Arabidopsis thaliana: one gene and its partner. The protein of the gene in region 2 interacts with the protein of the main gene of each other region in a pairwise test. Each region holds a gene or a part of one and is shown on either strand. Other genes may lie near its edges.

Evidence for each region.
Region 1: the proteins of PP7 (region 2) and HSF1 interact in a two-hybrid assay, tested with the Arabidopsis thaliana proteins (one study listed by BioGRID).

The regions. Positions count from the first base shown.
Region 1 is NC_003075.7:9,868,691-9,873,531, forward strand, and holds HSF1 (heat shock factor 1), read right to left. Parts: upstream 2,957-4,841; 5' UTR 2,914-2,956; coding exon 2,581-2,913; intron 2,434-2,580; coding exon 1,279-2,433; 3' UTR 1,128-1,278; downstream 1-1,127. Other genes in the region: AT4G17740 (Peptidase S41 family protein), read right to left, coding at 1-61, 149-231, 310-459, 556-847, 949-1,029; AT4G17760 (PCNA domain-containing protein), read left to right, coding at 3,130-3,246, 3,320-3,409, 3,496-3,650, 3,729-3,849, 3,936-4,055, 4,143-4,213, 4,339-4,567. UniProt on the Arabidopsis thaliana protein: Transcriptional activator that specifically binds DNA sequence 5'-AGAAnnTTCT-3' known as heat shock promoter elements (HSE).
Region 2 is NC_003076.8:25,559,316-25,564,828, forward strand, and holds PP7 (serine/threonine phosphatase 7), read right to left. Parts: upstream 4,002-5,513; 5' UTR 3,844-4,001; intron 3,610-3,843; exon of another isoform or gene 3,599-3,609; 5' UTR 3,594-3,598; coding exon 3,198-3,593; intron 3,120-3,197; coding exon 2,625-3,119; coding exon of another isoform or gene 2,610-2,624; exon of another isoform or gene 2,537-2,609; coding exon 2,390-2,536; intron 2,315-2,389; coding exon 2,207-2,314; intron 2,117-2,206; coding exon 2,021-2,116; 3' UTR 1,755-2,020; downstream 1-1,754. Other genes in the region: VPS20.1 (SNF7 family protein), read left to right, coding at 4,575-4,676, 4,910-5,062, 5,157-5,309, 5,444-5,513. UniProt on the Arabidopsis thaliana protein: Phosphatase active on para-nitrophenylphosphate (pNPP) and on various phosphoproteins such as myelin basic protein.

The DNA.
Region 1 (4,841 bases), on a different chromosome or scaffold from region 2:
CTGATGCAGTGGGGTAACCTATCGACAGCCCAACACCCGTAACCGCCCCTTGAGTCCCCGACTGCCTTCAACCAAACCATTTAATTACTAGATCTTACATACAGTCTATTTGCTAAATTCAGAACTGTATATTTTCAGGAAATCTTACCCGCAAACTCTTGAACTTTCCGGGCTCCAAGAATCGAGTAAAAGGATCATCTAGTGTTGCCACCATTTTCTTGATAGCCATGTCTAAACACAAACCAACACCAAATTTAGAAGCAAGTTGTACTAATTTTGTAAAAGGTTAATAAAGCTATTCACACATACATGTCTCTTCTCGAGTGTTCATAGGCTCATTTCGTAAAGCAGTCTCTCTGTAACGAAACCAGCTTTGTCCATTAAAGGTTTTATCAATATAAGCACGATCAATTGTTCTCCAAGCCTCGAGGAAGAGAAGATTCTCTTCAGTAAGACCCCCTAAAGAGACAGAGAAAAAAAGCCACACAAATGAAATCAAATTGCATTCCCCGAAATTTATATGGTTTCTCAACATGTAAAAAAAACAGAACTTACATGATGGTGGTGAATCAGTGGTAACAACAGAAATGGAAGAGACAAGCAGAACAGAAACGATCCGAACTAATGCAACAGAGAGATTCTGTCTGAAATTAACAGAAGATTTCATCATAACCTTCCCAGATAATTTCCTCTGATCATTTCTTTCGATAACACACAGAAATCTATTACAGACGAACACGACTCCTGGGTTTGCTGCATTGCTCCTTGAAATGTTACTACGACTACGAGCATAACTAAATTTGCTAGCTTTTGAAATCTTTGGAGGTTGTTTTACCCACAATTTCACCTGCAAAGGTTGAAAATTCTATTACACAGCTAAACGGACACAAATTGGGGAATTGCAGGAGAGAAACTTAAAAAGGAGTCAACTATACGAAAGAAAAGTACCTGGATTGAGAAATTAGGGTTTATTTTGTTAGGCTTAGTAAAAGAAATTGGGGATAATGAAGAGCTCGCAAGGACCTCCATTGAAAAGAGCTTCCCCGGGAAAATTCCAACTCTGTTTTTCTTATCGAAAAAGGACTACAAATATGATTGGACAAAGTAGTCACTTTCTACAATAAATTAGAAAAAATGGCATTTTCTTTTTAATAATAAATACAACTCTTCTATTATCCAAGGAAAGATTTCTGCACAAAGTTGCAACCGTACTACTGAGTCCTAACGATAATGTTAGTAGAGAAAGACTTTACAATGGATACTAAACATAATCCTTTACTAGTGTTCTGTTTCTGATGTGAGAAGACCCAATTCTTCTATAAGCTTATCCATATGTCTACCATTTGTGTTGTTGTTGTTGTTGTTGTTGTTGTTGTTGTTGTTGTTGTTGTTGTTGTTGTTGTTGTTCTCTAGTGTAGTTGCATCTCCAAAAACTGGGCTTTCTGGCATATATTCTTCAAGGAATTCAAAGTTACTCATTAGTTCATCAATCTCGGGGTCTTCGGGTATTCCCTCAAGCTGAATCGGGACTGAACCACCATCAAGGAATGGGCTTGGAGAGATGAATGCCTCTGGAACATTCTTCTCTGTATCCATGAAGTTTTCTGTAGGGAAGTCGTTGATACTCTCTCGTGTCAATTGTGGTATCTGGGAAGTCTCTGGCATTATGGTATCCGGGAGAGAAGTTGAAGTAGAGGGTAAGTATGATAAAGGCTGTCCTGATGGTACAGATGCATATGCCTGTGACTGTCCTGAAGTTATGGGTAGTACCTCTTGAAGAGTGACTCCTGATACCTGGTTTGGAGATGAGAACCCGTCAAGAAACGGATACTTATCATCTGTTTTCATCATGTTCCACATCATTGAATCGTTTCTAAGTGGCTGATACTTAACTATCTGTCCATCTGATGCTTCCAAGCTATGGCTATGACTATTACTCTCAGTAGCAGCAGTACTATCCTCTCTGAGTCTCCGCTTCTTATTGGCCTCGGTTACATGCATATTACTATCAGTCTGCTTCTGTATAAACTGAGAGAGGAAAGTAGGATTCTGTACAGCTTTAGCAAGGAAAGACATAATCTGTTGTTGCCTCTGCTCCATAACCTGAAGATGTTTAACCAAAACCTGAAGTTTATTATCTGTTGTTTGTTGCTGCTGGCGTAACTTAACGAGTTCCTGCATCAACACGTTTTTGTCTCTTTTAAGCTGTTCAACTTCTTCCTCTAACCCAAATTTCCCAACCTCAACACATGAAGATAATGCAGCCATTGAACCTTGACCCTGAGATAATTGCTGAGATTGTGGATTACTACTACTACTACCATGTCCCTGAACAGATTTTCTCCGGCTTATCTTCTTCAATAGATGTTTTTGACCTCTTAAGAAACCTTCATTAGCAAATTCCCATCGATCTGGATCCACTTTCCTAAAACCCTGTTCATCAAAATTGGCACATGAATCATATAAATCTTATCAAACACATCAAGCACTAAGATTATTCAACGAAATCATAATCTATACACAGTACAATTAGAGAAATCAATGGTGGAGAAATTAGGGCGCGAGAGAATTTATACTTACATAGGTGTTTAACTGGCGAACAAAGCTGGAGAAATTGTTGTGTTTGAAGTATTTAGGTAGAAGATCACGAGAAAACTCCGGTGGATCCCAAACAATGAAGCTATTGTTCGTCGGACTCCATGAGACAATCGCGTCCGTCGCCGGATCTTCCACCATGTCATACGTCTTGCTAAGGAAAGGGGGCGGTAAAGAGTTCGCATTAAGTAAAGTCGCTGGATGCGGATTCCGCGGTGGTGGCGCCGTCACAGCCTCGCCGATATTCGTTCCTCCGCCGGTAACACCGTCCATTTTCGTACGGATAAAGAAAGAGAAGTATTTGAAATTTACAAACATACCCTTTTATTTCTCTGTGACTCAGATATAAACGCGATATCATAAAGATGGGCTTTTATTTTTCTTTTTAGTTTGTGTGTGGGCCAAAAAGATCAACTTTATTAATAACTGGGCCTGCTAAAACAAATATAATAATAATCAATTTAATTGCTATATTGTCGGCATACATTTTCTGGCGGGAAAGCAGAGGAAGGAGAGTGAGAGAGAGAGAGAGAAATGAGTTCGTCCTCGTCGCCGGCGATTGAACCAGACACACCGGACCTGATTTGCCAGCTCGATAATGTTCAAGGAATGGTCGATGCACTCACTTGCGTCCGATGGAAACGCCACCAGGTTTTTATCTCCATCCTCCCCAAATTCAATCTAGGGTTCTTCTTTGATTTTCTGAAAACTTCTCCGTTTCCAGGATGCTTTAGTAGAATTATCTGAACACGGAATAGTTTTGATTGTTGAAGAATCAGGTTGTCTTCAAGCCAAAGTTTATCTTCAACGCGAGGTATCGATTTCTGAGTTTATCTTAAATTTTCTAAACCCCTAAAATTCGATTGAATCCGAAATCTGTTTGATGTGTTATATGAGTAGCTATTCACGAAATACGAGTATGGAGCTCAAGGTAGGCCGAGATTCGGAATCAGCTTAGGGCTTCTTGTTGATTGCTTGAACACATTTTCATCACCTGGACATTCTAATACTATAGAAATCAAGTATCCAGGACCTGATATGGAGCTTCTTCTCAAGTATGTGTACTATGATCCTTTGCTTTGTGAATATACGGATTACGAGTAATTAGCTGATTGGTGTGAGTGTTTGATTAGATCTGTTGATACCTTAAACTCTTGCATCTACTCTGAGATAAGAACTAGAATTCCCGAAACTGTTACTTGGGACTACAACTTTGAGCAGGCGGGAATCGCGCCACTTACTTTTACAGTAAAGGTAGTAACATAGTTTAGTATCGTTTTTCGTTTAACATTGTTAGTCTGAGCTTTTTCTCAAATGGTAATTGATAATGTATCTATCAGTCAGCGGCGTTGAAGGAAGCAATAGATGATCTTGAATGGCCTGGTTCAAGTGTACAGATCAGTCTTCAAAAGGAACCCCCTTGTGTAATCTTTAGAGGAGAAGGACATGGAGACTTGCAGGTCTTGTTTCTCACTTGTTTCTTGGTGATGTATATTATCTTAATGTGAAAGAATCAAGGAACATATTTCGATCTATCCTCTTTGCAGATAGACTTCATGTATTATGCCAACACAGATCTTCTCCTTGCCTTTCATTGTGATACCGAAGTCTCTTACGGGTAACAATGAACTCAATTCTTTCTCTACCGTAGCTTTATGGTTAAAACACACGCTCCTACGCTTGATTTACCAATCAAGAATAGTAGCCAGATACATTTGCTAAACTTCTCATTGTTGATTGTAGGTACAAATACAAGTTTTTGAAAGCAACAACGGCAAACATACCGGGAAACGTAGTGAGAGAAAACAGGGGAAGCAAACTAACAATAGGAAGAGGAGGAATGTTGAAAGTTCAGCACTTGGTTTCAGTTTCTAAAGCTTTAGCTCCACAAGTGGAATCCGCAGGGTATCAGCCACCGAGTCGGATTGCTTATATAGAGTTCTTTGTGAAGCCTGAAGAGCCTGCTGATTAATAGATTTTCTCCTTCAGTTACTTTATCTTTGTAATTCTAGTTCTTCTTTTTAGTCAGTCTCTCAATACTATCAGTATCAGTATCAGAAAGAAAGAAAGAAAAAGTTTAAGGCTTGCAAAGAAAAACTGCGTGTGGTTTCACTAAATTAGCTCAGATGTCTCGTCGTTTAGTGTTATATCGCTGAACGACGTCGTGCAGTGGAGACATAGGTATGTCATACCGAAAAAAGAAACCGGGTGTATAGTTCGGGGGATTGAACCCGACGTGAATCGAA
Region 2 (5,513 bases):
ATCATATGAAGATACGTCTTGCTACATGTTATTTTATTCAATTATTCAAAATGCATGGTTCTACATATGGAAATATACAGATATACGGTCTACTTACAACTTGATTTTTTTTTTTTTTGTTAAATTACAACTTGAAGATTCTACTATCAACAAAACAAAAACAAAAAAAAATCTTCTATCGATCGAGCGAGATATTCAAATCAAAATACATGGTCAACAGGTCAACTATAGATTCAAAATATATGAATACCTAAATATTCAAATTAAGATATATCAATTCACGATCTAAAACATCCAAATATAGATTTTGCGAAAACGGCCAAAGAAATTATACATAACGGATAAAAATAAATAAAAAATTACATACGGATACTACTTAGTAGTACTTACTAGATTACCTAAAACCCATAATCTTACATATACATATGGATAAAGGTAACATCGATGAATTACTTGTTTCATCCGATCTGGAACGAATATATCACCTCGCTCGACCTAACATTTATGTGAAACTAAAAGGTTGTTTACATTGAGATAAAACCAACATTATATGCTTGTCAGTGAGGGAAGTTGTGACATCTATTATAGTAAGAAAATTAAATGAATGAAGATATTTTTGCATTGCCTGATACATGCATTATATGTATTGTCCAATTTTGGCATTAAAGTCAACGAGACAAAACTCTAGATCAAGATGGTCTCTAATGTTGACATTTGTTGCGACCTCTTTCAAATGGGTTCATCTCATCATTCATCACACAAATTTGTTGCATTATCTTTTATAATCTTGTTAAATAAACATCATTACGAACAATTTGTGGAAAAATGGAAATTATATGAAAGCCATTGGAAGTACTATATACAATTTAATGCACATGACTTCAACAGAAAATACTAGAGAGACAAGATAAGACACCTATAATAATTTAAGCTTGACATGAAGTGCTAAACAATTACTGTTTAGAGACATATATGCACATGAAACTAGGAAAGAAAAAACATTGCGGTGAGTACATGTCAATGATTGTCGATGAACAAATTACAAAACAGTAAAAATCAACACCCACCCACATGGGTTCCGGTATAAGGGTCAAGTTTGGCGATAACACAAATTTTAGGGTTTGCAAAAATGTTGTAACCATAATCGGTGATGAAATATGGAAGATCATGTGAATATTTAGATGATGAAACTATTTGGCTGAAAAGACAGTTAACTTTAAGCTTTATTACTTGAGATGCCCCGTGACAGACAACGAATGACCTTGGAGAGAATCACACAGATGATGCTAGAGGTAGCTTTAATGTGTTATATTTGCGAATGAAGATGCTTCACGCTCCTGTCGAATTCTTCTCTCTTTAGAGAAAGAACAGACCATTATTAGTTTAGCCCACTCAAGAGAAAAAACCGAAAACAATTGCAATAAATGCTTCAAAGTGCAATAAGGAACCATAAGATAGTTAGCATCAACCTCCACTTCATACTGTCTTTTACAAGAAGACATACATTCATCTGAACAAATTGCTACCAAATTCGGCATTTAATAAGCTGTCTCGTTACTTAGGATTTTCATAACCACACAATTTTTTGTTGGATAAGATTCTAGTAATGTGTCAATATTTCAAAGGAAAACTATAATGCCGACAGACACATAACTTGATCCACAAACTTCCATTGGACTAATCTACTACTCGATTTATCATTCAGTTAAAAGCAATTCTATACAATGAAAGTTACTGCAAGTTTGACCTCTCAAGATTTAGGCTAACCTGACAAAACAGAGCAAAATCTTACAAGATTTAGGTTTAAATAAGACGTGTAGGAACCAAGAAACTAAGAACTACATGAGATTTAAGATGGTTCTTATTTCTTCATCTTCCATACATAACTTAAATGTGAATTCTACAAATGATTTTCTTCATCTCTTTTCTTTACATTTGATTCCATTTTATGTTTGCAAATAATGAGCAATCACAACAACTGTAAAAAACATCAATTCAAGATACTCCTTTTCAGCTTCGGTCAGCTATTTGGTTGTTCGTTATTGGTGTCCATTGCTGACTTATCCATCTCATCATCAGAATCAATGACATTTTCAAAGTCATAATATGGATGCGCCTGCACATTTAAAAACCGATGTCGCTATGTATGTGTATCAAAGAAGTAAAACAACTCGTTGGTTCATTATCAGCATCGTAAGTTAGTTACCTTTGGTCGCGGTTTAACAGCTTCGAAACTATGAAATTGAGGATCCGAGAAATCAGGCGCCTGCAAAATAATATATGCTCCTTTGTTTTTGTACCTCTCTTCTGTTGCCTACACCACACACAAAAATGATTGTTAACGCATATCTTTAGAAAATGCAAATACCAAAGGCGTAAAAATACATACTTGGAATTGCGGATAGTCAGGTGCACTGAAAATAGTGATAAGCTTTCCGGATTCGACATTGTGGTCTATTGTATATCCATTGTCCATTCCACCAAGACCAGTTCTCTTCTCTCTAGCATCTGGACCTTCATGTGATCTGATGATCAACTGCACCAATAAGTGTAAAACATTTGATCCAATCATCCATATCAGTATTTGGGAAGCAAACAAGCATCAATATCTACTTTGGTGTCACCTTCAGTTCATATTTCTTCAAAAAATCCTCTGTACAATCGGGACCCCAAAGAAGACCAATGCCTCTCTGTTCATTTGGTGAAAGGCCCGGAGTCATTGAAGGATCAGACCATAAAACGTCTCCTGGTATCAAGTTTGAACCTTCCCAAGGAGGATCAAGAACTGATCTTCGAGCTTGCATCAACTCATCTAAGGTACCGAGTTTCATTGAGCTCGGCTCAGGTTCCAGAAGAACTACCCGACGGTTCTTTTTCCCCCTTGTTGTTCGCTTAGGCAAGACTGGGCTGCGGAAAAGCCCTCCATGTGCTGTATAAACACGTCCAGAAATTATGGAAGCCAAAGGAAGACCTTCAAAGCAACCCAAACATTTCCGGTACACATGTTTTCCCTTGTCTCCGTATTTTGTAAGCACTTCCTTCTCGAAACCATACATAGATGTACAATACTTTGACTCATGATTACCACGGAGTAGGTAGACTCTGTCCGGCATCAAAACCTAAACAACCAAAAAGATATGTGCTTTAAGAATACTAAGACTTGAGCCAATAGTAAAACAGCTTAGTAAAGAGTTTACCTTCCAGGACAAGAGAACAAGGAAGGTTTCAAGTCCCCAAGCACCGCGATCCACATAGTCTCCGTTGAAAACATAACACCGGTTTTGACAAGGAAAGCCAGTATCTTTCAATAGGAAAAGAAGGTCATGAAGCTGACCATGAATGTCACCAACCACAACAACGTTGGATACAGAGTCAAGATCATCGATATGAACGCAGTTACGTTCTTTGTGGAGGATTTTATGAGCGGTGAGGACGAGGGAATCAAAGACGTTGACAGGCAATAGTGAAGGTAACTGGGAAGGAGGTAGATTCCATGAAGACCATTCGAAACACGACATAAGCCCATGTACCCAGTCGTTAGTGAGAGCTCCCCCATCTGGCCATGTAATGGGAGATGGTGGAACAGTTTCCATTAAAACTGTAAAAACACTAATCTATAATCAATTCCAGAGTATGAACATGTGAAACAAGAGTATCAAGCAATCGAAACATAGACAAAGTTTTCAAATTTCAGCGATCAAAGCCACCAGAACATAAAATCGAATCTGTATATATTCATTCGTACATCTTTAAACTCAAGAGAAGAGCAAAAAGTACAAAATCGAATCATGGGAAATCGAAATCCATATCACAAAGAATAATTCGGAACAGAGTGAGACTCACCGGCTAAGAGTGGAGACAATTTACAAAATTCCAAAGCTTGGATCTTGGACCTAGCTAAGCTAGCTTACTTTGCTTTCTCTCTGCTTTCAGTCCCGACACCGTCGTCGACGAGATTTAGGATCTGTCTGGCTTTGGATCCATTTACTCAAACGACGTCGGTTAACCAGCTAAAAGGATTCAAATCAAATTCATGATTCCAAACCGGCCGGTTTAATAAACGAACAAACCTTTTTTGTCGTGACGCTGCAATAGCGTTTTGCAATCACGCGCTATCGAAAACGCGAGTTCGAGATTTTGTTAAAGGTGGCCAACCGGTTTGTTCTGGTTTTGATATAAACTTGAACAAAATTGGGAGACCGAATTATACATTGGTCTATTCGGTTACTTATCGATTTCAGCTTGATTTTGTTTACGGTACTATCCAAGGAATTTTTGTTTGGTTTCGATTTTTTTATTTTTCAGTGTGGATGAAATCAAACCGACTAAAATCGGTTCGATATCGATTTTTACATTTTTTCGGTCCGGTTCATGCTTTTCCTCTATTTTGAGATATTTGTACTGAAAAGCAGAAAGAGAGAAGAAACACAAAAATTGGACTTTGGTTTGAAATTGGCGACATTTTTGGGAAATCTAGAGACTAATAATCAATTTCGTCAAAAGATCAAATCTTGCTAAATTTTCTTCTGCTCGTTTGATTTTCCGAATCGTTGGTTTCGATAAGTGAAGAAAAGATGGGGAATTTGTTCGTGAAGAAACCACAGATCACGGAGGTTGATCGAGCGATTCTCTCTCTCAAAACCCAAAGACGCAAGCTTGGTCAATATCAGCAGAAGGTTTTTTATTCTCTCTTCTTATATCTTAATTTTCTTTTGTTACAATTTCTTTTGGAACCCAGATCATATAGTTTTGATTCATCCAAAATCCTAATTGGAGATTGGATTTGATTCGTTTCACAATATGTGTCTTATGATTGTTAGTAGTGTGATGGAAAAGAAAGACTCAAGCTTTTGAGTTCTTTGGCTCATCTCTTTGTTAACCGATCTTCTCATTTTTTTTGCTAATTTAGCTTGAGAAAGTAATTGAAGCGGAAAAGCAAGCTGCAAGAGACTTAATCCGTGAAAAGCGAAAGGACAGAGCTTTGTTAGCATTGAGGAAGAAACGAACTCAAGAAGAGTTATTGAAGCAAGTGGATCAATGGGTCATCAATGTTGAACAACAAGTAAATCCTTCTCCTTGTGTGTATGTTTTGTATCCGGCATCGTCTCTTTTGATGCATAATTATGGCTTTCTCAAACTTTCATGTGAACTCGCAGTTAACAGATATTGAACTTACGAGCAAACAAAAGGCAGTGTTTGAGAGCTTAAAGCAGGGTAATAGTGCTATTAAGGCCATTCAAAGCGAATTGGACCTTGATGATGTTCAAAAACTAATGGATGATACTGCTGATGCTAAAGCTTATCAAGATGTGAGTCAAAATACTTTCGGGTTTCGTATCATTTGTTTATGATTCATTATTACGTTATCCGCTTTGTCAGAATGTAAATATCTTCTTATTTGATCACTGCTTTGTGTGGCACAGTTTGTTCTGAGCTCGTCTAGTGTGAAAACCTCTATAATCTTTTTTGTCGAGCTTTTGTGTTTGATGACTCTATTTACATTTCCGAATGTC